Macaca fascicularis: one gene and its partners. The protein of the gene in region 4 purifies or fractionates together with the protein of the main gene of each other region. This does not show direct contact. Links are inferred from orthologs where the notes say so. Each region holds a gene or a part of one and is shown on either strand. Other genes may lie near its edges.

What was found. Proteins that work in one complex are often made in the same cells at the same time.
Region 1: the proteins of SAP18 (region 4) and EIF4A3 fractionate together in Homo sapiens (co-fractionation; 3 studies listed by BioGRID and IntAct, with this or other methods). This does not show direct contact. The link is inferred for Macaca fascicularis from reciprocal best matches to the Homo sapiens genes SAP18 and EIF4A3.
Region 2: the proteins of SAP18 (region 4) and SRSF1 purify together in Homo sapiens (co-immunoprecipitation; 4 studies listed by BioGRID and IntAct, with this or other methods). This does not show direct contact. The link is inferred for Macaca fascicularis from reciprocal best matches to the Homo sapiens genes SAP18 and SRSF1.
Region 3: the proteins of SAP18 (region 4) and SMARCB1 fractionate together in Homo sapiens (co-fractionation; 3 studies listed by BioGRID, with this or other methods). This does not show direct contact. The link is inferred for Macaca fascicularis from reciprocal best matches to the Homo sapiens genes SAP18 and SMARCB1.

Annotation. Positions count from the first base shown.
Region 1 is NC_088390.1:86,552,961-86,558,960, reverse strand, and holds the start of EIF4A3 (eukaryotic initiation factor 4A-III), read left to right. Parts: upstream 1-2,481; 5' UTR 2,482-2,563; coding exon 2,564-2,732; intron 2,733-5,546; coding exon 5,547-5,619; intron 5,620-6,000. UniProt on the Homo sapiens protein: ATP-dependent RNA helicase. Involved in pre-mRNA splicing as component of the spliceosome. Core component of the splicing-dependent multiprotein exon junction complex (EJC) deposited at splice junctions on mRNAs.
Region 2 is NC_088390.1:48,704,926-48,711,064, forward strand, and holds the start of SRSF1 (serine/arginine-rich splicing factor 1), read left to right. Parts: upstream 1-2,620; 5' UTR 2,621-2,729; coding exon 2,730-2,923; intron 2,924-3,331; coding exon 3,332-3,516; intron 3,517-3,883; coding exon 3,884-4,056; intron 4,057-4,256; coding exon 4,257-4,443; intron 4,444-4,816; coding exon 4,817-4,839; coding exon of another isoform or gene 4,840-4,855; 3' UTR 4,856-6,139. UniProt on the Homo sapiens protein: Plays a role in preventing exon skipping, ensuring the accuracy of splicing and regulating alternative splicing.
Region 3 is NC_088384.1:28,069,198-28,075,302, reverse strand, and holds the start of SMARCB1 (SWI/SNF-related matrix-associated actin-dependent regulator of chromatin subfamily B member 1), read right to left. Parts: upstream 3,520-6,105; 5' UTR 3,328-3,519; coding exon 3,235-3,327; intron 1-3,234.
Region 4 is NC_088391.1:792,746-798,621, reverse strand, and holds the start of SAP18 (histone deacetylase complex subunit SAP18), read left to right. Parts: upstream 1-1,961; 5' UTR 1,962-1,973; coding exon 1,974-2,102; intron 2,103-2,307; coding exon 2,308-2,417; intron 2,418-5,876. UniProt on the Homo sapiens protein: Component of the SIN3-repressing complex. Enhances the ability of SIN3-HDAC1-mediated transcriptional repression. When tethered to the promoter, it can direct the formation of a repressive complex to core histone proteins.

The DNA of each region.
Region 1 (6,000 bases), on a different chromosome or scaffold from region 4:
GGAGGATCGCTTGAGCTCCTGGGCTGGGGCTGGGGTGTAGGGTCCTTGGTAAGGCTTCTGAATAAAACTAATTCTTTAAAAGCTTAACTGTATTTCTTTAGTCAACAAGGTATTTGACATTCTTCTCCTACACTGTCATTGAAGTCTGTGTGTATTTTACAACAAAGCCCTAGAGCACCGCCTGGCAAACAGTGTGAGGCATTGAACCATCCTTTGTAGAGTGAAGAAGGTATCAGAACTTACAATACTTAGTATTTTGGTTACGTGACACCAGCAACCTTACAAGGAATGTTTCTCGGGTCAATTATCTGTCATGGATAAATTCTGGTGCCAGAATGAGATTTGCTCTTGGAGAAGGCTGCATTTACTTGTTCACCCTTGAAATACTGCAATCCACCAATTTCTTGATAAAAGGGTGCTCTGGTTTTTTGTTTTTGAGATGCAGTCTCCATCACCCAGGCTGGAGTGCAGTGGCACAATCTCAGCTCACTGCAACCTCCACCTCCGGAGTTCAGGAGATTCTCCTGCCTTGGCCTCCAGAGTAGCTGGGACTACAAGCATCCGCCACCACGGGCAGTCAAGTTTTGTATTTTTTTTTAGTAGAGATGGGGTTTCACCATTTTGGCCAGGCTGGTCTCGAACTCCTAGACTCGTGATCCACCTGCCTCTGTCTCCCAAAGTGCTGGGATTACCGGTGTGAGCCACTGGGCCTGGCCAGGATGCTCTGGTTTTAACTAAAATTAACCTTCATAAAAGGAGAGCTTTCAAGCACTCCTGGAAAGAAGCCGTGGATTAAAGATGTGCCCAGCCATGTAAGCCAGATTTGTGATCATAAGCACAGGGCCGGACTCACGCCTGTAATCCCAGCACTTTAGGAGGCCGAGGTGGGCAGATCATGAGGTCAGGAGTTCAAGACCAGCCTGACCAACATGAGGAAACTCCATCTCTACTAAAAATACAAAAATTAGCTGGGTGTAGTGGCGCGAGGCTGAGGCAGGAGAACGGCATGAACCTGGGGGGCGGAGCTTGCAGTGAGCCTAGGTCACGACACTGCACTCTAGCCTGGGTGACAGAGCAAGACTCCGTCCAAAAAAAAAATGACACAGCTGGTGCTCGTGGAAATTTTTACTTTTCCCACAGTTAAAAACATGATTCTCAACAGCGTGAACTGCCCTTCAAAGATGATGGAGCTGCTTCAAAGTGCATTAGAGGAGCTGGGTATGTAGAAGCACTTCAAGTGTCAGATAAGAAAGTGGTTAGGACTGTGCGTAGCAGCGGCACCTGTGGTCCCAGGTACTCTGGAGGCTGAGGCGGGAGGATCGCCTGGGCTTGGGAGGTGGAGGCTGCAGTGAACGGAGATCGTGCCATAGCACTCCAACCTGGGCGACAGAGCCAGGCTCTGTCTCAAAACAAATGAACTAAAAGCAGGTTAAGATGCGCAACTGGTTACCGTTCTGCTGGGCAATTACATGATCCCGTCTGGGTTATCTTTGCTGCAGGACACGCATTATTAACACCGTCTAGACAGGAGGCTTTCATTAAGAGTAAATTGCAGGCTCTGCGTGTATTTTACTTTATAACAGCTGCTTGCCGGGCACAGTGGCTCATGTCTGTAATCCCAGCACCTTGGGAGGCCAGGGCGGGCGGATCACCTGAGGTTCAGGAGTTCAAGACCAGCTTGGACAACCCTAACCCCCACCCTTCCCCCAACACCGTCTCTACAAAAAATTTAAAAAAATTAGTCGGACATCATGGCGCGCGCCTGAGGTCCCAGCTACTCTAGAGGCGGAGGCAACAGTGAGCCCTGATCCCACCGCCGCACTCCAGCCTGGGCGACAAAGAGAGACCCTGTCTCCAACTGACCAGGCAAACGGCGAAAACACACACAGGCGCGTCCCCAAAGACACCGGCATTAGAGGCCCTGGCCCTCCCCAGCGCAGACCCGCCCGAGCCCAGCGCCGCGCCGGCGCCCACCACCGGGGGCCGTGAGGGTTTCCACCCGAATCTCCCCGGCGAGCTGGGCGCCCCCACTACGGGTCCGCGACGCAGTCCACCCAATGCGGGCCCGAGAGAGGACCCGTGTTCGTCCTCTTCATTCGAGGCGGGGCTGTGTGGCGACGCCACCCGGACTGGAGGCCCCTGGCGGCCCCCAGCCTGTTGTCAGGGGATTCAGGGCCGCACGCCGCTCAAAGAGCCTTAGCGTCCCAAACTGCCGCAACCGCCACAAAACGCCACCAACTCTGGAAATCCACCCGCTTCCGTACCTTTTATAAGGAACTGGGTGCCCCGCCCTCAACGAGATCCCGCGAGAACTGCATATGGCGCGAGAGCAGAAACATCTTACTTTTTCCTGCGGCAAACGCCCAGTTCCCTTTCAAGTGACGAAGAGTGCCCCGCCCCAGAGGCGGGGTCGCCTCGCGCGCACGTACGCACGCACATACGCACGTACGCACGTCTTACGCTTTCTCACGCTAAGGCGTCAGTTCTCGGCCCCGGCAGCGAGAAGAGTCGGGAGGTGGTTTACGCTGTGGCGCGCGCTGTGCTCTTCCGCGGACTCTAAATCATGGCGACCACGGCCACGATGGCGACCTCGGGCTCGGCGCGAAAGCGTCTGCTCAAAGAGGAAGACATGACCAAAGTGGAATTCGAGACCAGCGAGGAGGTGGATGTGACCCCCACGTTCGACACCATGGGCCTGCGGGAGGACCTACTGCGGGGCATCTACGCTTACGGTGAGTGGGCGCGGGCCGCGGGGGCCAGCTGGCGGCGAGCCGGGGGCTGAGAGCCCGACTGGTGACTCCCGGGCCGGCCCTGCACTCCGGAGGTCGTGGTCAGGGTCGAGGCTCGGGGGCCAGTGACGTGCGCCCCCCCCCCCACCCCTGCCCTCACGCCTGGCTGTGTCGGCGCGTTCGCTGTGTGTCCCCTGTGCAGAGCTCGGCGCTGGGTCCGTCGGGGGCTACAGCCGCTTCGAGGCACCTCGGAGTCGTTCATTCAGCAGATAACTGTTTTGTACCTACTAACTTTTCTAGTTACTGGGGTTTTGGCGGTAAACCAGATGGGTTTGCGCCTTTACGGGTTTTGAATTTCCTTTGGGGGGACAGCATGCGGTCAGATTGCCCAGGCAGTGGTTGTTGCTGGGAAGAACCCGAAGCTAGGTAATTGAATAGAGTGGGCCTGGGAAGGAGGAGATAATTAGTAAAGCAGAGAGGTAAGGGGGTTCGCAGGAGGGGTTGCCATTTGAGCAGAGGTATGGATGAAGGAGACTTTTAGGAGAGGAGGGAAGAGCAGTTGGGGCAGAAGGAACAGCTGGTGCCAGGGCTTTGCAGCCCTTAGCCAGCTGCATTCCAGGAACTGAAAGAAGTCCCCTGTGGTGGGATTTTGGAGAGCTAGTCAGGGGCCAGATTTAGCAAAGACGTGTAGGGGTGACGAATAATTTGAATTTCATTTGGAAATCTAGTGGGAAGCCACTGGAATGTAGTAAGTAGCTATGTGACACGATCACATTTACAGCTTTAAAGATTCTTCTGGGTGTCTGTGAATTTCAGGTGAGGCGAGGCAGGGCAGGAGAGGAAACAGAAGAGTTGGGAAGCTTTTGCTCCAGTTAAGGGAAGAGAGGATTGTGCTGCCTTGGAGATGGAGTGCCAGGGAACTGACAGCATTGGCTGATGGATTGACTGTGAGTGACAGGAGGAGGAGGGTTGGTGTTTTGAGTAACCAGTGGTTGATGCTGCAAACATGTGGCTAGGTAGGCAGCACTCCAGAGAGTCAGAATCAGGAGTTGTCTCTTGGTATGTTTGAAAGATCTGTGGAAGTTGAGAGAGAGCCTGGAGAAGAGATTGGGTTGGGCACATAGATGGGAATGGCCAGCATCTGGGGTAAATGGCCTGTGTTTAATGCTTGGGACAGGGACATTTTTTATCCTGTAGTTCTCTTTTCTTTCTTTCTGACAGTCCTGCTCTGTCACCAAGGCTGGACTGTAGTGGCATGATCTCGGCTCACTGCAACTTCTGCCTCTGGGGCTCAAGCGATTCCTTTGCCTCAGCCTCCCAAGTAGCCGACCACCATGCCCTACTAGTTTTTGTATTTTTAGTAGGGATGGGATTTTGCCATCTTGCCCAGGCTGGTCTTGAACTCCTGACCTCAGTGGTCTGCCAGCCTCAGCCTCCCAAAGTGATGGGATTACAGGTGTGAGCCACCCCACCTGATCTTATCCTGTAATTCTTGATGCCACAACAGTTTGGACAAAGTGAGGCGAAGGTGCTGAGGATGGGTGGTGAGAAAGCATCTCAGCCAGCCTTCCAGCGAGGCTGACAGCCCCACCTGGTTTCCTGGCACTCAGGCGGTCCCTGCCCTAAGACACTGTTGTTAGTTTCCCATCCATGTGCTTGCTCTTCCTGAAGAGTTTAAATCATCTGCTATATTTGCTTTTGTGTTAAGATGGGAAATTGTGCTACATTTTCTTTTGTTTCTCATTTTTCGCTATGCCCCAGAACTGAACAGAGCTACATTTAAGAGACTACCAAAAAATAACTGAACTAGAGTTTTGTACATAAAGTTTTATTTACTTACTTGAAAAACACATGGTTCTTCTTCAAAATAGCCTCCCCCTTTGGTGTAGTAGTTGCTTTGCAGGAGAGATGGTATGGTAGTTAGTGAGCTGCATCCAGACAGGAGAACAGCGTAGGACACCCCACAGTGTGACCCAAGCAGGTTAAATAGAATTGTAGACCTGTCAGCAACACACAGACTTAATGCTAGCTAGGAGGAGAGAAGAATGGCTACAGTGACTTTCCTGGTTTTTTTTGTTTTTGTTTTTAATTTAAAAAGTAGTATAGGCCGGGCGCGGTGGCTCAAGCCTGTAATCCCAGCACTTTGGGAGGCCGAGACGGGCGGATCACGAGGTCAGGAGATCGAGACCATCCTGGCTAACACGGTGAAACCCCGTCTCTACTAAAAAAATACAAAAAACTAGCCGGGCGCGGTGGCGGGCGCCTGTAGTCCCAACTACTCGGGAGGCTGAGGCAGGAGAATGGCGTGAACCCGGGAGGCGGAGCTTGCAGTGAGCTGAGATCCGGCCACTGCACTCCAGCCTGGGCGGCAGAGCGAGACTCCGTCTCAAAAAAAAAAAAAAAAAAAAAAGTAGTATAGGTTGTTTGTAATCCAGTCAAACCTAAGGAAGTAATTAGAGTAAAAAGTTAGCTGCTTTTCACCCCTCTACTGCAGTAACTGCCAGGAACATTTTGGCACTTATACTTCCAGATGCTGCACACCCAGAAGATTATCATTATTATTTTTCTGTATTCTACAATTTGGTGGTTTTTTTAAAATAGAGATTTGTCTTTACAAATAATATCTCATGTTAGTTTAGAAATCCACTTAGTCCGATTCATTGAGCCCCTGGGTTTTGAGAGCTTGCTATGTTGAACACTGGGTTAGGCGGGAGGACAGGTTCAAACAGCAAACCACGTCTGCCCCTGAGGAGCTCACAGTACAGGGTTTCTGTGCTGTCATTGTAGCGAGAGCTATTTTTTTGTTTTTATTTGCAGGTTTTGAAAAACCATCAGCAATCCAGCAACGAGCAATCAAGCAGATCATCAAAGGGAGAGATGTCATCGCGCAGTAAGTTGTCCTGGGGTGCGGCGCGGGGCTGGATGCAAATTTGGGCAGCGCAGTGCAGTTAGATGCTCTGGGATGACTGTTTCCCTCAGCTTCTACACACTCAGTACCAACACGTGCCCTGACTTTAGCCACAGGGTTTAATAATTTTTAAATTTCTGTTCTCTACTATAGAAAGCTTTCATTTTCTTTTTGAGATGGAGTCTCGCTCTGTCGCCCAGGCTGGAGCGCAGTGGCACCATCTCGGCTCACTGCAACCTTTGCCTCTCTGTTTCAAGCGATTCTCCTGCCTCACCCTCCCAAGTAGCTGGGATTATAGGCGCCCGCCACCATGCCTGGCTACTTTTCGTATTTTTAGTAGAGATGGGGTTTCACCATGTTGGT
Region 2 (6,139 bases), on a different chromosome or scaffold from region 4:
CAGGGAAGCAGAGGTTGCACTGAGCTGAGATCACGCCATTGCACTCCAGCCTGGGTGACAGAGGGCAACTCTGTCTCAAAAAAAAAAAAAATATATATATATATATACACACACACACACACACACACACCCCCCTATATATATACTTGAAGGATGGTCTGAAGGATAGGCAATCTATCCCTCCCTTGACAATTTTCAGAAGTTCTTTTCCCTTTTGGGATCTATGGACTCCTTTAAGAAGTTGATTAAAATTTCAAATCCTCTTCCCAGAAAAAAGTACGCACATGCATATAATTTTGTACATGCATACATGCATATAATTTTGGAAAACATTACAGAAAGCTCAAGGATTACCAAAGGTCATCTGTGGATATACTGAGGATCTTCAGGCACAAGAGCAAGCATCCCTGCTCATTTCAAATTGAATATGTATTTTGGGGTCACCGAGAGACATTTGTAAAATACATTTCATCAGCTTTTAGAATTAAGAAAACATGTCCTTCTCCTGAATGACCTATTTATTTTTATCCCAAAGGCACTTTGGATTTTGAATACGCAATACTGGTGTACCCTTCTTTACCGCGACTTCTGCGAAGACTAAAGTAAAATTTGCAGTCTATCTCAACAAATTCAACAGGCTTTCACTGCAGGCATTTTGTATAGTAATTTATGCTTATTTCATTTAATCCACCCCTTATTTTCCCATTCCTCTAGTTTTTTTGTGTGTGTGTGTGAGATGGAGTCTTGTTCTGTCGCCCAGGCTGGAGTGCAGTGGCATGATCTCCGATCACTACAGCCTCCACCTCCTAAGGGTTCAAGAGATTGTCCTGTCTCACCCTTCCGAGTAGCTGGGATTACAGGCATGGGCCACCATGCCCGGCTAATGTTTTGTATTTTTAGAAGAGACGGGTTTCGACATGTTGGTCTCAAACTCCTTACCTCAGGTGATCCGCCCGCCTCGGCCTCCCAAAGTGCTGGGATTACAGGAGTGAGCCACCACGCCCAGCCTCATCTACTTTTAATAATGTTTTATGGTATCTCTGTAAGTTGCCTCACATCCTTGCGGAGAGGGACTGCTGTAAATAACATGAAGAACATTATCCCTGAAATTCAGGGTGTAGATCTGTTATCGCAAATTTATGACTGCAGGATTTGATTTTGTTGTTGTTTCCCCCTCCTTTTTTTTTTTTTTTTTTTTTTTAGGAGGAGTCTTACTCTGTAGCCCAGGCTGCAGCGCAATGGCGCGATCTCGGCTCACTGCAACCTCCACCTCCAGGGTTCTAGCGATTCTCCTGCCTCAGCCTCCCGAGTAGGCTGGATTACAGGCGCCCGCCACCAAGCCCGGCTAATTTTTTTTTTTTCAGTAGAGACGGGATTTCACCATGTTGGCCAGGCTGGTCTCGAACTCCTGACCTCAAGTGATCTGCCGCCTCTACCTCCCAAAGTGCTGGCGTGAGCCACCGCGCCCAGCCTGATTTTAATTTGAATTCATTAGCGACGTTTAAAAATCCCAGGATTTCACATAAAAATCCAGATTGCAGACGTCGAAAAAAAATGTAAAATGTTATCTCCCAATGTCGCAGGCAAATAAGATCACAGTCCTGAATAGCAACCGCGGTCTCTAGTGGATACGGCTCTCATCCATTTCGGTCCATTTTATTACCTGGGAGGACCGGTATTTTCAATTTCAGTAACTTTTAGAGGAAACTTTTGAAAAAAGGACTGCACACACGCACCTTTTCTTCCTTCTCGTTCTTTAAAAGGAAACAACAGAAACAATTCATTCTGCAGGCAATCTGCGCTAGTCCCACGGATAGGCGATTAACAAGAGATAAAGAGGTGTGGGTACCAGAAGCAGTACTGTTACCCCTTCTGGTTGGCGGGTACCACGTTGAAAGGTCGGGGTACGGGCCCACTGCGACTAGCACAAAGAGTGCTGAACTGAGCTATGCAAAGTTCTGACGAGAAGGTGGAATGGTTCTTAATGAAAAGGATTAAGGAATCTAAACCGGTTTCGCTAAATTAGACACATCTGTCTAAGCAGCCACAGCTTGTTCGCAGCAGGGGCGGGAAGACAAACCAACGCCCCAGCTCTCTATTCAGTCACCGGCAACTCAGCTCTGGACCAGACGCACTCTACGAAGATACCCGGGTTTCCGGAGCAACGGCCCGAGCCCTCCCCCTTTAGCCCCGCCTCCGAGTCTCTTTCCCGCCAAAGGCCGTTATCGCCGCAGAGCATGGTGGGACAAGGCTTTAGGCTAGGTTTCACCAAGTCCTTTGAAGGCGCCGAGTTGCTTTCAAAGCTCCTCATTCCTGGGGAAATTGACTATCCTTCAAGACTCGACCTGGATGACTAGCTCCTTTAACGAGAGTTCTTTATTTAACTTTTACCAAACGGCTGCTCACTCTATTCGCAAACCACCCCAAGCGGGGAACGCGGGGGACTTTTTTTCCCCCTTCGTGCGGAGGGTGACGTCGCGCGTGCGTGCGCGTGCGTTGCGCGTATCCCTCGCAGCACCCGTTGCGCTCCCGCGCGTGCGTGTTGGGATCGAATCGCTGTTTCCTTCCGCTTCTCTTCCTCTGTCTCCCCCCCATATCCGTGCGCCGAGCTGATAAAGGCGCCATTTTGGAGGGGCCGCGGGAGACGTGGTGCCGCTGCGGGCTCGCTCTGCGGTGCGCTAGGCTTGGTGGGAAGGCCTGTTCTCGAGTCCGCGCTTTTCGTCACCGCCATGTCGGGAGGTGGTGTGATTCGTGGCCCCGCAGGGAACAACGATTGCCGCATCTACGTGGGTAACTTACCTCCAGACATCCGAACCAAGGACATTGAGGACGTGTTCTACAAATACGGCGCTATCCGCGACATCGACCTCAAGAATCGCCGCGGGGGACCGCCCTTCGCCTTCGTTGAGTTCGAGGACCCGCGGTGAGGCGGCATGGGGCTTGCAGCCTTGAGGAAATAGGTCCGAGTAGTCGGGGAAGGCTCCAAGGCCTTAACATAGAGAACGGGGAAGCGGGGGCTCTTAGAGAGGTTGGGGCGAGACTGTATCGCCCATGCAGGAGTCGAGTAAGGAGCTGAGTTGGTGTGGCTTCTCTGGCGCCTCGCCTTGGACGTCCCCGGAGCCCATTCGCAGGCTGGAGCGGGAAACTGAGGCGCTGAGGGCTGGTGTAGTGGTTGGGAGCCTGGCGTGTTTCTGGGTGGGGGAGGGGCCATTCCTATTATGCGGCGCATGTGGGCTCTTCCACGTTGGGTGCGCATGTGCGGGGGGTTCCCGACTGAGCGAGCTTCTCCTCCTGGTCTTTCTCATGCCTTTTACTTTCTGCGATCCCGCAGAGACGCGGAAGACGCGGTGTATGGTCGCGACGGCTATGATTACGATGGGTACCGTCTGCGGGTGGAGTTTCCTCGAAGCGGCCGTGGAACAGGCCGAGGCGGCGGCGGGGGTGGAGGTGGCGGAGCTCCCCGAGGTCGCTATGGCCCCCCATCCAGGCGGTCTGAAAACAGAGTGGTTGTCTCTGGTGAGTGTACTTTGTTGTGTGGATTGATGTGAAGGGACGGAAGCTACCTAAAATTTTTGTCTTGCATGATCGGTTTAACAATTGCAAATTTTTCATGCTAGGTGTTAAATTGCTTTAGTTTTTGGGTGAATTTAATAAACGAGGATTGCTGCTGTGGTGATTTACCAAATTAGGTTGCGGTACTAGATACGAAGATCCGTTACAAATAATTTTGGACTCTGGATCCCAGAATCTTACCAGCTCTTTACCTGGTATCACTTAAGTACACCTATTAAGTATTTTAAAGTACTCTTTGTTCTAATGTATCTTACCAGCTTAACGTGAAATTTAAGATAATTGATACTAAGAAAAAAAATCACTTTTTCAGGACTGCCTCCAAGTGGAAGTTGGCAGGATTTAAAGGATCACATGCGTGAAGCAGGTGATGTATGTTATGCTGATGTTTACCGAGATGGCACTGGTGTCGTGGAGTTTGTACGGAAAGAAGATATGACCTATGCAGTTCGAAAACTGGATAACACTAAGTTTAGATCTCATGAGGTAGGTTATACGCTTATTCTTTTCTTTGACCAGAATTGGATACAGTGGTCTTAACAGTGGAATTTGAAGGTAAGAATTCAGGCAAGGGTGTCCAAGTAAATTGCCAGATTTCTGGTTGTAGTTGCATTGTATGCATTCAGCATGCCTGAAGATAGATGAAAGCTTAGATCTTTCAATGGAAAGTTCTGTCTATCCAATAGGGAGAAACTGCCTACATCCGGGTTAAAGTTGATGGGCCCAGAAGTCCAAGTTATGGAAGATCTCGATCTCGAAGCCGTAGTCGTAGCAGAAGCCGTAGCAGAAGCAACAGCAGGAGTCGCAGTTACTCCCCAAGGAGAAGCAGAGGATCACCACGCTATTCTCCCCGTCATAGCAGATCTCGCTCTCGTACATAAGATGATTGGTGACACTTTTTGTAGAACCCATGTTGTATACAGTTTTCCTTTATTCAGTACAATCTTTTCATTTTTTAATTCAAACTGTTTTGTTCAGAATGGGCTAAAGTGTTGAATTGCATTCTTGTAATATCCCCTTGCTCCTAACATCTACATTCCCCTCGTGTCTTCGATAAATTGTATTTTAAGTGATGTCATAGACAGGATTGTTTAAATTTAGTTAACTCCATACTCTTCAGACTGTGATATTGTGTAAATGTCTATTCTGCCCTGGTTTGTGTGAACTGGGATGTTGGGGGTGTTTGTGGTTATCTTACCTGGGGAAGTTCTTATGTTTATCTTGCTTTTCATGTGTCTTTCTGTAGACATATCTGAAGAGATGGATTAAGAATGCTTTGGATTAAGGATTGTGGAGCACATTTCAATCATTTTAGGATTGTCAAAAGGAGGATTGAGGAGGATCAGATCAATAATGGAGGCAATGGTATGACTCCAAGTGCTATTGTCACAGATGAAATTGGCAGTATTGACCTTATACTAAAAGGCAGGGGTTAAAAATGATTATATACGTTTTCCTTAAAACACTTGCAAACATTTTATTCAGTTATCTTTAGCTACAATTGCTTTGCTCTTTAAACCTTGGCAATTGTGGCAAAATTATATTGCCCATTTTGTAGCAACTTATTTTGCTCCCTTCCCCCCATTTTTGTTTTAATAGGGACTAATGTGGGAAGAACTGGCTAATTTGTCACAGTGCTTAGTTACAACTGTTAATGTGTGACCTGCTGTTGGTGTACATGTGGGTACAGGGTGTCTTTAAATCCAACAAGATAGAGTATAATATCAATACTGCTAAATCTGCATGTCCTCTGTGTGACTGATAGAGCGTTGCTATTTCATTTTTTTAAGACAAAATGAAAGCAAAATATAGAGTTCCAATGTATTGGTGTAGATAATCTAGTTGGGAATACTTTTAAGTCTCACCTTCCCCTTTAAACTAATATTCATAATTGATTCATATGTTTAAAAGACTTTAATTTACAAATTAAATTGCAAATGGGAGCATTAGATATAGTTTTAGACTTAGGTGGGTAGCAATGCCAGTAAACTTAAATTACGTAACTTCTTGCAACCACGAAACCTGTAATACGCTGTACAGTAACAAGTGTTGGCATTATCAGTTGAACTGTAAATACAAAATGCTTCTTCCAATTAGTCTCTATGATGATTAAGTTTCTAAAATTTATCTGAACACCATTCAGAAACTTGTTTTGGGGAATTTGATAGTTATTGATGTGCATCTGTTAAACTGATGACAGACATAACTCATCATTCCCCAGAAACCTTTTTTGATTACAGTATCTAACATTTTGCCTCCTCTTTTTTGGTTTTGCTGGTTATAAAGGTTTGGATTGGAGAGGGCTCACTGGATCCCAATCCTTGGAGCTGGATCATTGGATTCAAATCATAATGTGGATAGGATAGGGAGGATGAATTACCAGGATTCATGGAGCGGGATCAGATTACCAGGAACATAGGAGTGGATTCCTGCCCCAACCAAACCGCATTCGTGTGGATTTTTTTATTCAACTTAATTGGCTATTCCAAAGATTTTTTTTTTTCCTATTTTTGACGATTGGAGCCCTTAAGATGCACGATGGAATTGTGTTTTGCGTTTTTTGGTAAAA
Region 3 (6,105 bases), on a different chromosome or scaffold from region 4:
CCCTCTGTGTTATTTGGCTTGTGTGTCAGTATCATCCAGTATCATGGTAAATGTACAGTTTCCATTCGGTTTTTTAAAAGAAATTGACAATACTCCCCACTATGACTATCTTGCAGGCCCTGCAGGGCTCTGAGACTCCTAGATGCCCCCCAAAGCCCCTTCAGAACTTAGGAAACTGGGCTGGCCTTCCTGGCTTTTCTCTGAACCAGCCTTCACCGTCTTGGGACCCAGGTTTCCTGAATATAAAATGAAGGTGCTGGATTGGGGATCTGTTACGGTCCTCAAAGCTTCGTGACTCTGGTTTGGTAAATACAGCTATCTGTTAATGGCAGAACAGTGACACACACTCATAGTAAATGCAGATGCCCTCCCAAGACAGCATCACAGATGGCACATGGAGGCACTGAGGATGTTGCTCTGGCTGGCCCACCTCTCTGAATACAGTGCCTGTTTTCCACAGGGCAGTGTGCTGGGACCATCCATCCACCACTGTCACTGGAGCTACTGAATTTCAATAGACCTCTGACCTTGAACCCTTCCCTAAACTCTGAAGCTCTGCTGATTAAGTCAGGTCCAAAAAAACAAACTGCCTGTCCATCTGAGTCTCTTACAGGCTGGGTCTCAGGAAGATCATTCTTACTGGGAGGCCCAGGAGTGAACCGGCTGAAAGACAAGACTGTAATTAGCTTTCTAAAAACTACAATGTGTTTTGGGGAAGATCTTGGAGACCATCTAGTCTAAGCATTCACATTATACACGTGAGAAACGTGACACCAAGGCAGAGCAGGGCTGGAACCAGGCCTCCCAAGGTTCTTCCCACTTGGCCACGCCCAGCTTCTCAATTTGCTCCAACTAATAAATGAAAGCTTTCTTTTGAAGTGTCACCCACTCAGAGCCAAACTGATTACTTTTTTTTAAATTATTATACTTTAAGTTCTAGGGTACATGTGCACAACGTGCAGGTTTGTTACATATGTATACTTGTGCCATGTTGGTGTGCTGCACCCATCAACTCCTCATTTACATGAGGTATAACTCCCAATGCAATCCCTCCCCTCTCCCCTCCAAACTGATTACTTTTACACCCATTAGATCAGGTAAACAATTTGCCTAGTATTAAAATTCAACAGCCTTTTGCATTCTGCAGTTAGGCAGGTGCCTACCAGCCAATGAGGACCATTCTGAACTGTGGCAGATGGACAGGCACTGGCTCCACCTCCCCAGCACTGACATCTTTGAACAGTTGTAGTTTAAGTGACAACGTGAAAATTTTATTGCATCCTGCATTTTTTGTTTTACAAAAATTGATGGAGGTCAGGCACAGTGGCTCATGCCTATAATCCCAGCACTTTGGGAGGCTGAAGCAGCCAGATCACTTGAGCTCACAAGTTTAAGACCAGCCTGGACAATATGGTAAAACCCCATCTTTACTAAAAATACAAAAATTAGCCGGGTGTGGTGGTGTGAGCCTGTAGTCCCAGCTACTTGGGAGACTGAGGTGGGAGGAGGGCCTGCGCCTGGGAGGCAGAGGTTGCAGTGAGCCAAGACTGCACCACTACACTCCAGCCTGGGTGATAGAGTCAGACCTTGTCCGGAAAAAAAAAAAAAAAAAAAAAAAAGGGTGGAAAATGCTAACACTAAAGTTCTGATGCTATTGACCTTAGTCTCAATCCATGGGACTCAGTGTGACCATCTTGAGGCTTCATTCATTCATGCTATGCTCAATTGTGAAAGAAAAAAAACCCCACAAGTTTAAAAAGTATGAATGCACTGAGTGTGAGTGTGGTGGCTCACACCTGTAATTCCAGTACTTTCAGAGGCTGAGGTGCAAGGATCACTTGAGCCCAGGAATTCAAGACCAGCCTGGGTAACATGGCAAAACCCCGTCTCTACAAAAAATACAAAAATTAGTCGGGCATGGTGGTGCAAAACCTCTAGTCCCAGCTACTTGGGAGGCTGAGGCAAGAGGATCGCTTGAGCCCAGGAGGTCAAGGCTGCAGTGAGCTGCGATCACACGACTGCACCAAAGCCTGGATAACAAAGTGAGACCTTTTTTCAAAAATAAAAATAAAACAAAATAAAGCATGAATACAATGCTGGAATATGATACTAAAAACTGCTACAAGGAGAAGAAACTCATTGCATTTCATGACAGCTTTAATTCTCCAGGATTGGCACTTACTTCCTTACATGAGACTCCACTGCTTGACATTTGTACATCTGAACTGCATATCCATAATTTTTTTAAAAAGGTAACATATACTAGCTGGGGACTGCCTTTGGAGCAAAAAAGGCTAGTTTGAGACAATCTGGAAAAACCTAATATATGGCCGGGCGTGGTGGCTCATGCCTGTAATCCCAGCACTTTGGGAGACCCAGGCAGGCAGACTGCTTGAGCCCAGGAGTTGGACACCACCCTGGGCAACATAGCAAGACCCCGTCTCTATAAAAAACGAAAAACAAGAACCTAATATACTGGGAACAAACACCCATTAAAGGCCAGTTGTAGGGTTTTCCTAAAGTCAGTCATCCAGTTGATGCAACAAAATGCAGCCTCTCTAGTTAAGGGTTAAACATTTTTAGGCTCTTTCCGCTGTAACAATTCAGAATCAGTTCACAGATATGGAAAAAGTGTCAATTGCTTCAGAATTGCTGAAAGATCTGGCTTAGGCATGGGGCCCTTATTCACCCAAAAGCAAACACCCTCCAGTCTGTTTCTTCACTGGTAAAAAGGTCAAAACACCTCCACTGCCCACCTTAGAGGCAACAAACACAATGGGGATGAGCCCTCACTAAGTCCGGGGTTTCCAGTCTGCCATTTCAGGTTCCCACAAGTAGCAATAGGAGGAGGGGCGCATGTGAAATTTACAACATCTAAAAAGGGTCAAAGGCAGCAGTGCGGTCCCCCAAGCATCGCAGGAGCTAACTCAATATCTCGTTAATTTGCGTCTGGCTGGAAACCAACCCAGCGCGGAACCACTGGGGACCCTCTCGGCGCCAAAATCCTGGTAGCACTACAGATCGCGCACCTCGGCGAAATGGGTAAGGAAATCCCAGGTCGATGAGGGGGCGGGGGCCATGCCCGACACGCCCACTAGGCCACGCCCTGCAGCCCCGAGCGCGCGCGCGCCCGCCCGCCCCGATGAATGGAGACGCGCGCTCTCGGCGCATGGGCCTGCCCCAGGGCTCCCGCGGGGCCGAGCCCGGGGAGGGCGAGGACGCGCCGCGGGCTACCTCGGAGCCGATCATGTAGAACTCGCCGTCGTCCTCCAGCTGGAACTTCACGGGCTTCTGCCCGAAGGTCTTGCTCAGCGCCATCATCATCATTGCGGCGGCAGAGGCGGGCGGCTGGAGCCGGGCTGCGAGAGATCGGGAGGGCTGGGGCGGGGCCGGGGCGTGCCGGGCCGAGGGAAACCGAAGCCGGAAGGCAAAATGTGGACCGGGCCGGGTACTGGCGCCTCAGCCGGGCTCCTCAGCCGCAGCCGCCGCCGCAGACGACGACCAGGCCGCCCTCAGTGCGCAGGCGCTGGCGTTGACGCTGACGCGCGCGCCGCCGCTCAAACAAAAGGCCGGGCGCGCCTCCGCGGACCCCTTAAAGGAGCCACGACTAATTTCTCTTTCTCCCAGGCTGCTTCCCAAGTCGTGGTGTAGAGGACTTCTCACGGACAAAAATAGCCACTGAGGTCCTGAGTCAAGCAGTGGCTTTCCAAGTCTTACAGCCAGGACTGGAACTGGCCCAGGGGAAAAGAAATGAAGTGAGACCTGAAGGAGGAGGACCTAGTATCTGGAAGCCTGAGTGGTCTTGGCATGCTTTGGGACCCCAGGCTCCTGTCTTAGCTTCCCCACCCCTAAAACGCAGTGCAGCTGAGCAGATAGGCAGGCCCCTAGGAACAGATATCCCAGTTCCGGGCCTATGGCTGTCCCTGCAGTTGTGGAGGTGGGCAAAATGACAACAGCAGATGAGGCTTGGCAATGTTCAAAGGCCCAGGTGGTATTTGGTTTGGCTGGTGCGTCAGATGAGCGAGAGTTGGAAGGGAGGGACACCTTCCACCTTCTCCATTCCCCTCTTAGCTTCACACTCTGCTTAACCCAGCCCTATGGTGGGGAGCGAAACCAGGCAGCCCAGTCCTTCCGCTCTGCCTCTTGGCTCTTACAGCCTGAAGCTAGTGAAACTAATGAAAGTCTCAAAGCAATCATGTAACTGATTGAATAATGCAGGGAGTAAAACAGTGGCCCACTACTGATGATTTCATACGGTTCAGTCTAATGAAATTGCAGCTGTGGCTGGGCTCAGTGGCTCATGCCTATAATCCCAACTCTTTAGGAGGCCAAAGCAGGGAGGATCACTTGAAGCCAGGAGTTTGAGACCAGACTGGACAAGACAGCAAGACCCTGTCTCTACAAAAATTTTAAAATAAATAAGCTGGGTGTAGCATGGTGGTGTGCACCTGTAGCCCCAGCTACTTGGGAAGTGGAGTGGGAAAGATCCCTTAAGCCCAGGAGTTCAAGGTTATAGTGAGCTGATTGCACCACTGCACTGCAGCCTGGGCAACAAAGGGAGACCCTGTCTCTTTTACAAAAAAAAAAAAAAAAAAAAAATGCAACTATGATAAATGCTATTACAAAAACACACATGGGGCTGGAAGGTAGGGCAAGGAGACACTGGAGAGTTGGGAAGGGCAGTGACTGAAGTTGCTTTGTTCAGTATCCTCACAGTGGTGGGAAACCAAAGTACAGTAATCCCTCAGTATCCATGGGAATTGGTTCCAGGACCCCCTGCAGATAATAAAGTCCATAGATGCTCAAGTCCATTATATAAAATGGTGTCATACTTGCATATAACCTACACACATTTTCCTGTATACCTTAAATCACCTCTAGATTCCTTATACTACCTAATACAATGCAAATGATATATAAATAGTTGTTATACTATATTGTTAGGGAACAACGACAAGGAAAAAAGTCCATACATGTTCAGTACGGAGGTAACCATCCTTTATTTATTTATTTATTTATTTATTTATTTATTTTTTGAGATGGAGTTTTGCTCTTATCACTCAGGCTGGAGTGCAATGGCACTATCTCGGCTCACTGTAACTTCCATCTCCCATGTTTAAGTGATTCTCCTGCCTCAGCCTCCCAAGTAGCTGGGATTACAGGCTCCTGCCACCACACCCAGCTAATTTTTGTATTTTTAGTAGAATGGAGTTTCACCATGTTGGCCAGACTGGTCTTGAACTCCTGACCTCAGGTGATCCACCCACCTCAGCCTCCCAAGGAACTGGGATTACAGGCACGAGCCACTGCGCCCAGCCGTATCCTTTTTTTATTTTTTATTTTTTTGAGATGGAGTCTCACTCTGTCACCCAGGCTGGAGTGCAGTGGCGCAGTCTCGGCTCACTGCAAGCTCTGCCTTCCGGGTTCACGCCATTCTCCTATCTCAGCCTCCCAAGTAGCTGGGACTACAGGTGCACACCACCATGCCCACCTAATTTTTTATATTTTTAGTAGAGATGGAGTTTCATCATGTTAGCCAGGATGGTCTCGATCTCCTGACTTCGTGATCCACCCGCCTTGGCCTCCCAAAATGCTGGGATTACGGGTGTGAGCCACCACGCCCGGCCTTGCATCCTTTTTTTAAACATTTTTTTCCCTACCTGAGGTTAGTTAAGCCTATGGATGCAGAAACCACAGCTATGTATGGAAGGCTGGACTGTGGCATGAGCAGATAAAATGACCACCACCCTGGAGGATGAACAGAGGGGACAAGTAGGAAAGTGGGGAGCCAGTTAAGAAGTCACTATAACAAAATGTGATGTAGAAATGGAGCAGAAGGAGCCCTGAGCACTGTGCCCAGCCCCAAGGTTGGCGGACTTTGACCCTGGCTCCCAGGACAGGGCTGAACAGCGGCCAGGCCTCCCCATCTTAGCTGAACATTCACAAAAAGAGACCAAGCAGGCAGGTAGAAAACAACTGTGTTTAATGACAATCCTCAGTTTAAAAAAAAAAGAAAGAAGAAGCAGCTTTATACACACTGTACACACATTTACAATGGCTTTGGAGGATAGCAGTGCTGCAAAAAGGGCTTCAGGAGGATCCGGC
Region 4 (5,876 bases):
TATCAGAATTCCCAGTAGCCTACAAACACTTGCTACTGTCAGAGTTCCTAGATTTTTTGTTTAAGATGGAGTTTTGCTATTGTTGCCCAGACTGGAGTACAATGGCGTGATCTTGGCTCACTGCAGCCTCCGCCTCCGGGTTCAAGCAATTCTCCTGCCTCAGCCTCCCAAGTAGCTGGGATTACAGGCTTGCGACATGAATGGTTAGTATTTTTTAGTAGAGACAGGGCTTCACCATGTTGGTTAGGCTGGTCTCGAACTCCTGACTTCAAGTGATCCACCTGTCTTGGCCTCCCAAAGTGCTAGGATTACTGGGGTGAGCCAGTGTGCCCAGCCGTATTTTTTTTTTTTTTTTTTTTTTTTTTTTGAGATGGAGTCTTACTCTGTGGCCAGGTTGCTGGACTGCAGTGGCACAATCTCCACTCACTGTAACCTGTAACTTCCGCCTTCCCAGTTCAAGCAATTCTCCTGCCTCCGCCTTCCCAGTAGCTGGGATCACAGGCGCTCGTCACCACTCTTGGCTTATTTATTTATTTATTTATTTATTTATTTATTGAGACGGAGTCTCGCTCTGTAGCCCATCTGGGCCCACTGCAACCTCCGCCTCCCGCCTCCCAGGTTCACACCATTCTCCTGCCTCAGCCTCTGGAGTAGGTGGGACTACAGGCCCCCGCCACCATGCCTGGCTAATTTTTTTTTTTTTTTTGTATTTTTAGTAGAGACAGGGTTTCACCGTGTTAGCCAGTATGGTCTGGATCTCCTGACCTCGTGATCTGCCCGCCTCGGCTTCCCAAAGTGCTGGGATTACAGCCATGAGCCACCGCGCCCGGCCGTTTTTATTTTTATTTTTATTTGTATTTTTAGTGGAGCCGGAGCCTCATCGTGTTGGCCAGGCTTGTTTCAAACTCCTGACCTCAAGTCGGGAGTCAGGAGGTCAGGTGATCCGCCTGCCTCATCCTTCCAAAACGCTGGGATTACAGGCGTGAGCCACCACCACGCCTGGCCAGAGTTCCTAATTTTTGCCAATCTAGTGGGTGTGGCTTAAAAACCAGTCAATTGAAACTAATCATGGTTTTAATGCATTTCCCTGATTTGTAATGCGCTTGCTCACCTTACATGTTTGTTGCCTCTCTGGATTTTGTCATTTCCAAAGCACCTGTTCAGTAATTTTATCCATTTTTCGATTGGGTTGTCTGTTTACATCCTATATATTCTGGATAATTGCCTTTGTCAATCATATGTGTAACAAATTTCTCCCACTCTGTGGCTTTTTTCTCTCTTATGATGTATTTTTTTTTCCCACTTTTCAGTCGTAAGATGATATCACTTTTAAGTTCAGTCATATACTTGGCATTTTGGGTTCATCATGGAGTTTGTTCATCACGGAGTTTTGAAGGTCAGATTATTTTTGTCCTAACCCAGTCAAATCAATTGCTTCTCGTTAGTTTTTTCTATCATATATTCCCATCCATAGGTCCTGAAGATATTCTAGAACGTTATTTCCTACAAGTTCCGGGTTTCCTGCTCGCATTCCGGTCTCTAAGCCGCCGTGTATGTGGCTGGAAGGATCGCTCCATGACCACGTACGCTGGCGACGCCTCTTCCGGCTTACCTCAGGGGCGGGTATGGCGGACCTGTTCTTTTATCAGAAAGATCTATATTTTGCTAATAAAGGAACGTTTTGTGTCCAATAAGGTTTTCGTCATTACGAGTGAAAACGCCACCTTAAGCTTATTTCGCCTGTGAATATTTAAGGGAAAAAAAAAACACCCCGGCAACCAACTGCCAGGCGACGGAGGCTAAACCGCTCCTCCCCACTGAGGCCAGCACCCACCTTTTCCCGAAGTCGCAACACGCAGGCGCGCCCGGCTCGCACGCCACGAACGGAAGTGCGCCTGCGCCAGGATACGCCCCGCCCAGCCACTGCCCGACTATAAAGTGTCGAGCTTCTCCTCGCGAGAGACTTCGTGCTCATGCTCGCTGCAGGGGTCGGAGGTCAGGGCGAGCGTCTAGCGGGCCGTAGGAGGAAGATGGCGGTGGAGTCGCGCGTTACCCAGGAGGAAATTAAGAAGGAGCCAGAGAAGCCAATCGACCGCGAGAAGGTGAAGGTCCCCTCCGCTTTGGGGTCCGGGAAGAGATTGGGGGTGGGCCCGGCAGGGTGCAGAGGCGCGGCCTGTGTGCGGGAGGAGACGGTGTTTTTGGTATCCGGACGGCTCGGAGGCCGCAACGCCTCGGGAAGAGAGGTGAGGTCCGGGCTCGCAGCTGGTGTCTTTAACTTCTGCCGTTCCGTTTTTCTCTCGCCCTCAGACATGCCCACTGTTGCTGCGGGTCTTCACCACCAATAACGGCCGCCACCACCGAATGGACGAGTTCTCCCGGGGAAATGTACCGTCCAGCGAGTTGCAGATCTACACTTGGTGAGGAGGGCGGGGGCGGGCTCGGACCCGGGCCGGGAACCTGGAACAACAGTTAATTGCCTTTGCCAGTGTAGAGAGTTATTCTCCTTGATTTAAATTTCATTCCTCCACTTGGGGTCTTCAGGCTCAACTTTCGGGAAGTTAGAAGTTTTTGTTGTTAGGTGAAAGGAGATTTGCCTTTATTGTAACGCTTTTGTGATTAATGTTGCAACTTTTGGGCGGTTAAGAATGCACAGACCCAAGATTTAGCACTGTTATGGCTGCTAGGTACAAAAGTGATAGGTAGATGATTAAGTTGTAGTATCCGCCCTAAAGGGACTCATGGTCAAATAAATTGCACTAGGACAGCATGGTAAGGGAGAGTGATGCTGTCGAGTGGTGTTTGTTATTCTCAAAGAGCATTTCCACGTAATATTAAGCCTTAGGTACCAAAGCACCAAAAGTGAAAAATAAACTACCAAAACCCGAGTTATTATCTAAGGGTTGATGGAAGAGCTTTTGGTGTGTGTTTAGTGAAGATGGTTCCTGAGTGTTCATCTCTTGGGTGTATCTCCCTACAAACTACTGCCGGCTTGTCTTTAGCGCTGCACATAACTCCTTGGATTGACACCATAATGGGTTTTTAATATAAGTAAAAGGTGTGTAACTGAAAAATATATGTATATGCTATATATATATGTGTGTGTGTGTATATATATATATATTTTCAGACGGAGTCTTGCTCTCGCCCAGGCTGGAGTGCAGTGGCGCCATCTCCGCTCACTGCAGGCTCCGCCTCCCGTGTTCACGCCATTCTCCTGCCTCAGCCTCCCCAGTAGGTGGGATTACAGGTGCCCACCACCACGCCTGGCTAATTTTTGTATTTTTAGTAGAGATGAGGTTTCACCATATTGACCAGGCTGGTCTCGAACTCCTGAACTCAGGTTGTCTGCCTGCCTCGGCCTCCCAAAGTGCTGGGATTACAGGTGTGTGAGCTACCGCGCCTGGCTTAAAATAAATTTTTTATTGCGATAAAAAGTTATATAACAAGCCATGCACGGTGGCTCATGCCTGCAATCCCAGCACTTTGGGAAACTGAGGCTGGCGGATCACTTTAGGTCAGGAGTTTGAGACCAGTCTGGTCGGCATAATGAAACCCTGTGTCTACTAAAAATGCAAAAATTAGCCTTGTGTGGTGGCATAGAATTGTAATCGCAGCTACTTGGGAGACTGAGGCAGGAGGATCACTTGAACTTGGGAAGTGGAGGTTGCAGTGAGCTGAGGTCGCGCCACTGTACTCCAGCCTGGGCGACAGAGCGAGATTCCGTCTCAAAATACATATGTGTGTGCATATGTAACAAAATTTGCCATGTTAACCATTTCTTATTTCTTGAGTCTCACTCTGTCGCCCAGGCTGGAGTGCAGTGGCGCCCATCTCGGCTCACTGCAACCTCTGCCTCCCGGGTTCAAGGGATTCTCATGCCTCAGCCTCCCCAGTAGTTGGGATTACAGGCGCCCACCGCCACACCTGGCTAATTTTTGTATTTCTAGTAGAGACAGGGTTTCACCATGTTGGCCAGGCTGGTCTGGAACTCCTGACTTCAAGCGATCCGCCCGCCTCGGCCTCCCAAAGTGGTGTAGGATTACAGGCGTGAGCCAGCGTGCATGGTCATTAACTGTTTTTAAGTGTATAATTTGTTGGCATTAATAGCATTCAAATTGTTGTGCAACCACTATTTCTACAAGTTTTTATCCCTCCCTCCAACAGAAAGCCTGTACGCCATCCTGCCTTGTTTTAATTTTTAAAGAGATGGAGTCTTGCACTGTTTTCCAAGCTGGATTTGAGCTCCTTGGCTCAACCAGCTGGGACTACAGGCACACACCACCATGCCCAGTGTGCTGGTAACCTTTTAAGGACACACCGTGCCTATTAAAAAATAATTTCCCATTCCTCCCCCGCCCCATCCCCTGGTAGCTTCTAATGTATTATCTGTCTATATATGAATTTGTCTATTCTGGATATTTCATTTCAGTGAACTCGTTACAGTGTTTGTCATTTTGTGACTGGCTTATTTCATGGTGTTTTCGGGGTTGATGTTGTAGCATCCATTCAGCCTTGTCAAGACTGAATAATATTTCATTGTATGTGTGCATCACATGTACTCATCTATTGATGGACACTTGGATTGTTTCATCTTTTTTGCCATTGTGAATAATGCTGCTGTGAACATTGGCATACAAATGTGTTTGTGTCCCTGCTTTCAGTTATTTTGGGTATGTACCTAGGAGTGGATTACTGGGTCATATGTTAATTTTGTTTAAGTTTTGAGGAACCATCAAACTTTTTCACAGCAGTTGCACTATTTTATATTCCCCAGAATGTGTATAATTTAAAACTGTTTAAGCCCTGTACACTAGAGCTAATCCCTTGAATATCGGGACCTTACTTATCTTATTTGGAAGTGCTTGTTAAATTTATGTAGTAGTATGATACTTGTATTTAAGCATCACTCAAGGGTAAGTGTTCCAGGAAGTTTGATTTAGCTTATATGGAAGAACTGTTGAATAATGACTTCATGAAAATCTCTTTTCAGAAATTGAAGTGTGTTTCTTCCAACAAATAAGAGTTCCTATTTGCCGGGTGCTGTGTGTGCTTAGATTCTGAGGGTATAAAGTCAAGAAGGTACTGCTCCTCCCTGTAGTCCTTTTATCAGGGAAAGCGGATGAATAGAGTGATTTTTAGGGTTAAGATGGCAGGGTGAGGTTGTTCCACAGACCACCTCCTCTGAATCAAGAAAAAAAAATTACAAAAAAAATCCTGTCCTGAACTACCTGTCCATAAATTGCAACCAAACAAAGAAGGAACCACCTTAAGTTATATCTCAAAATGGTGGCCAGAGATTCTGAGACTGGATGATTGGTAATGGGGGTAATGCAAAGGCCTGCCCTCACTCCCAGAAATAGTAATGAGGGAAAATTAGTTAACATATGTTGGAAATTCTCAATAGAAGTAGACTGTGAGGTTAAAGTAGGCAGCCCCAAGACAAGCTATGGAAAAAGGAGTGGGATTCCAGAGGAGCCCAGTGGAGGCAGGCTGTGCCCCCCAAAGTCAGTCATGGCTCAGCCAGAAAAACAGAATTGGGAGAGATGTGTTAAGAGATTTATTTCTGCTGGGCATGGTGGCTCACACCTGTAATCCCAGCAGTTTGGAAGGCAGAGGTGGGCAGATCATGAGGTCAGGAGTTGGAGACCAGCCTGGCCAACATGGCAAAACCCTGTCTCTACTAAAAATACAAAAATTAGCCAAGTGTGGTGGCAGGCGCCTGTAATTCCAACTATGTGGGAGGCTGAGGCAGGAGAATTGCTTGAATTGCAGTGAGCCGAGATCGGCGCCACTGCCTCTAGTCCGGGCGACAGAGCGAGACTCCATCCCCCCCTCCCCAAAAAAAAGAGTTTTATTGCAAAGAATTGGCCTATGTG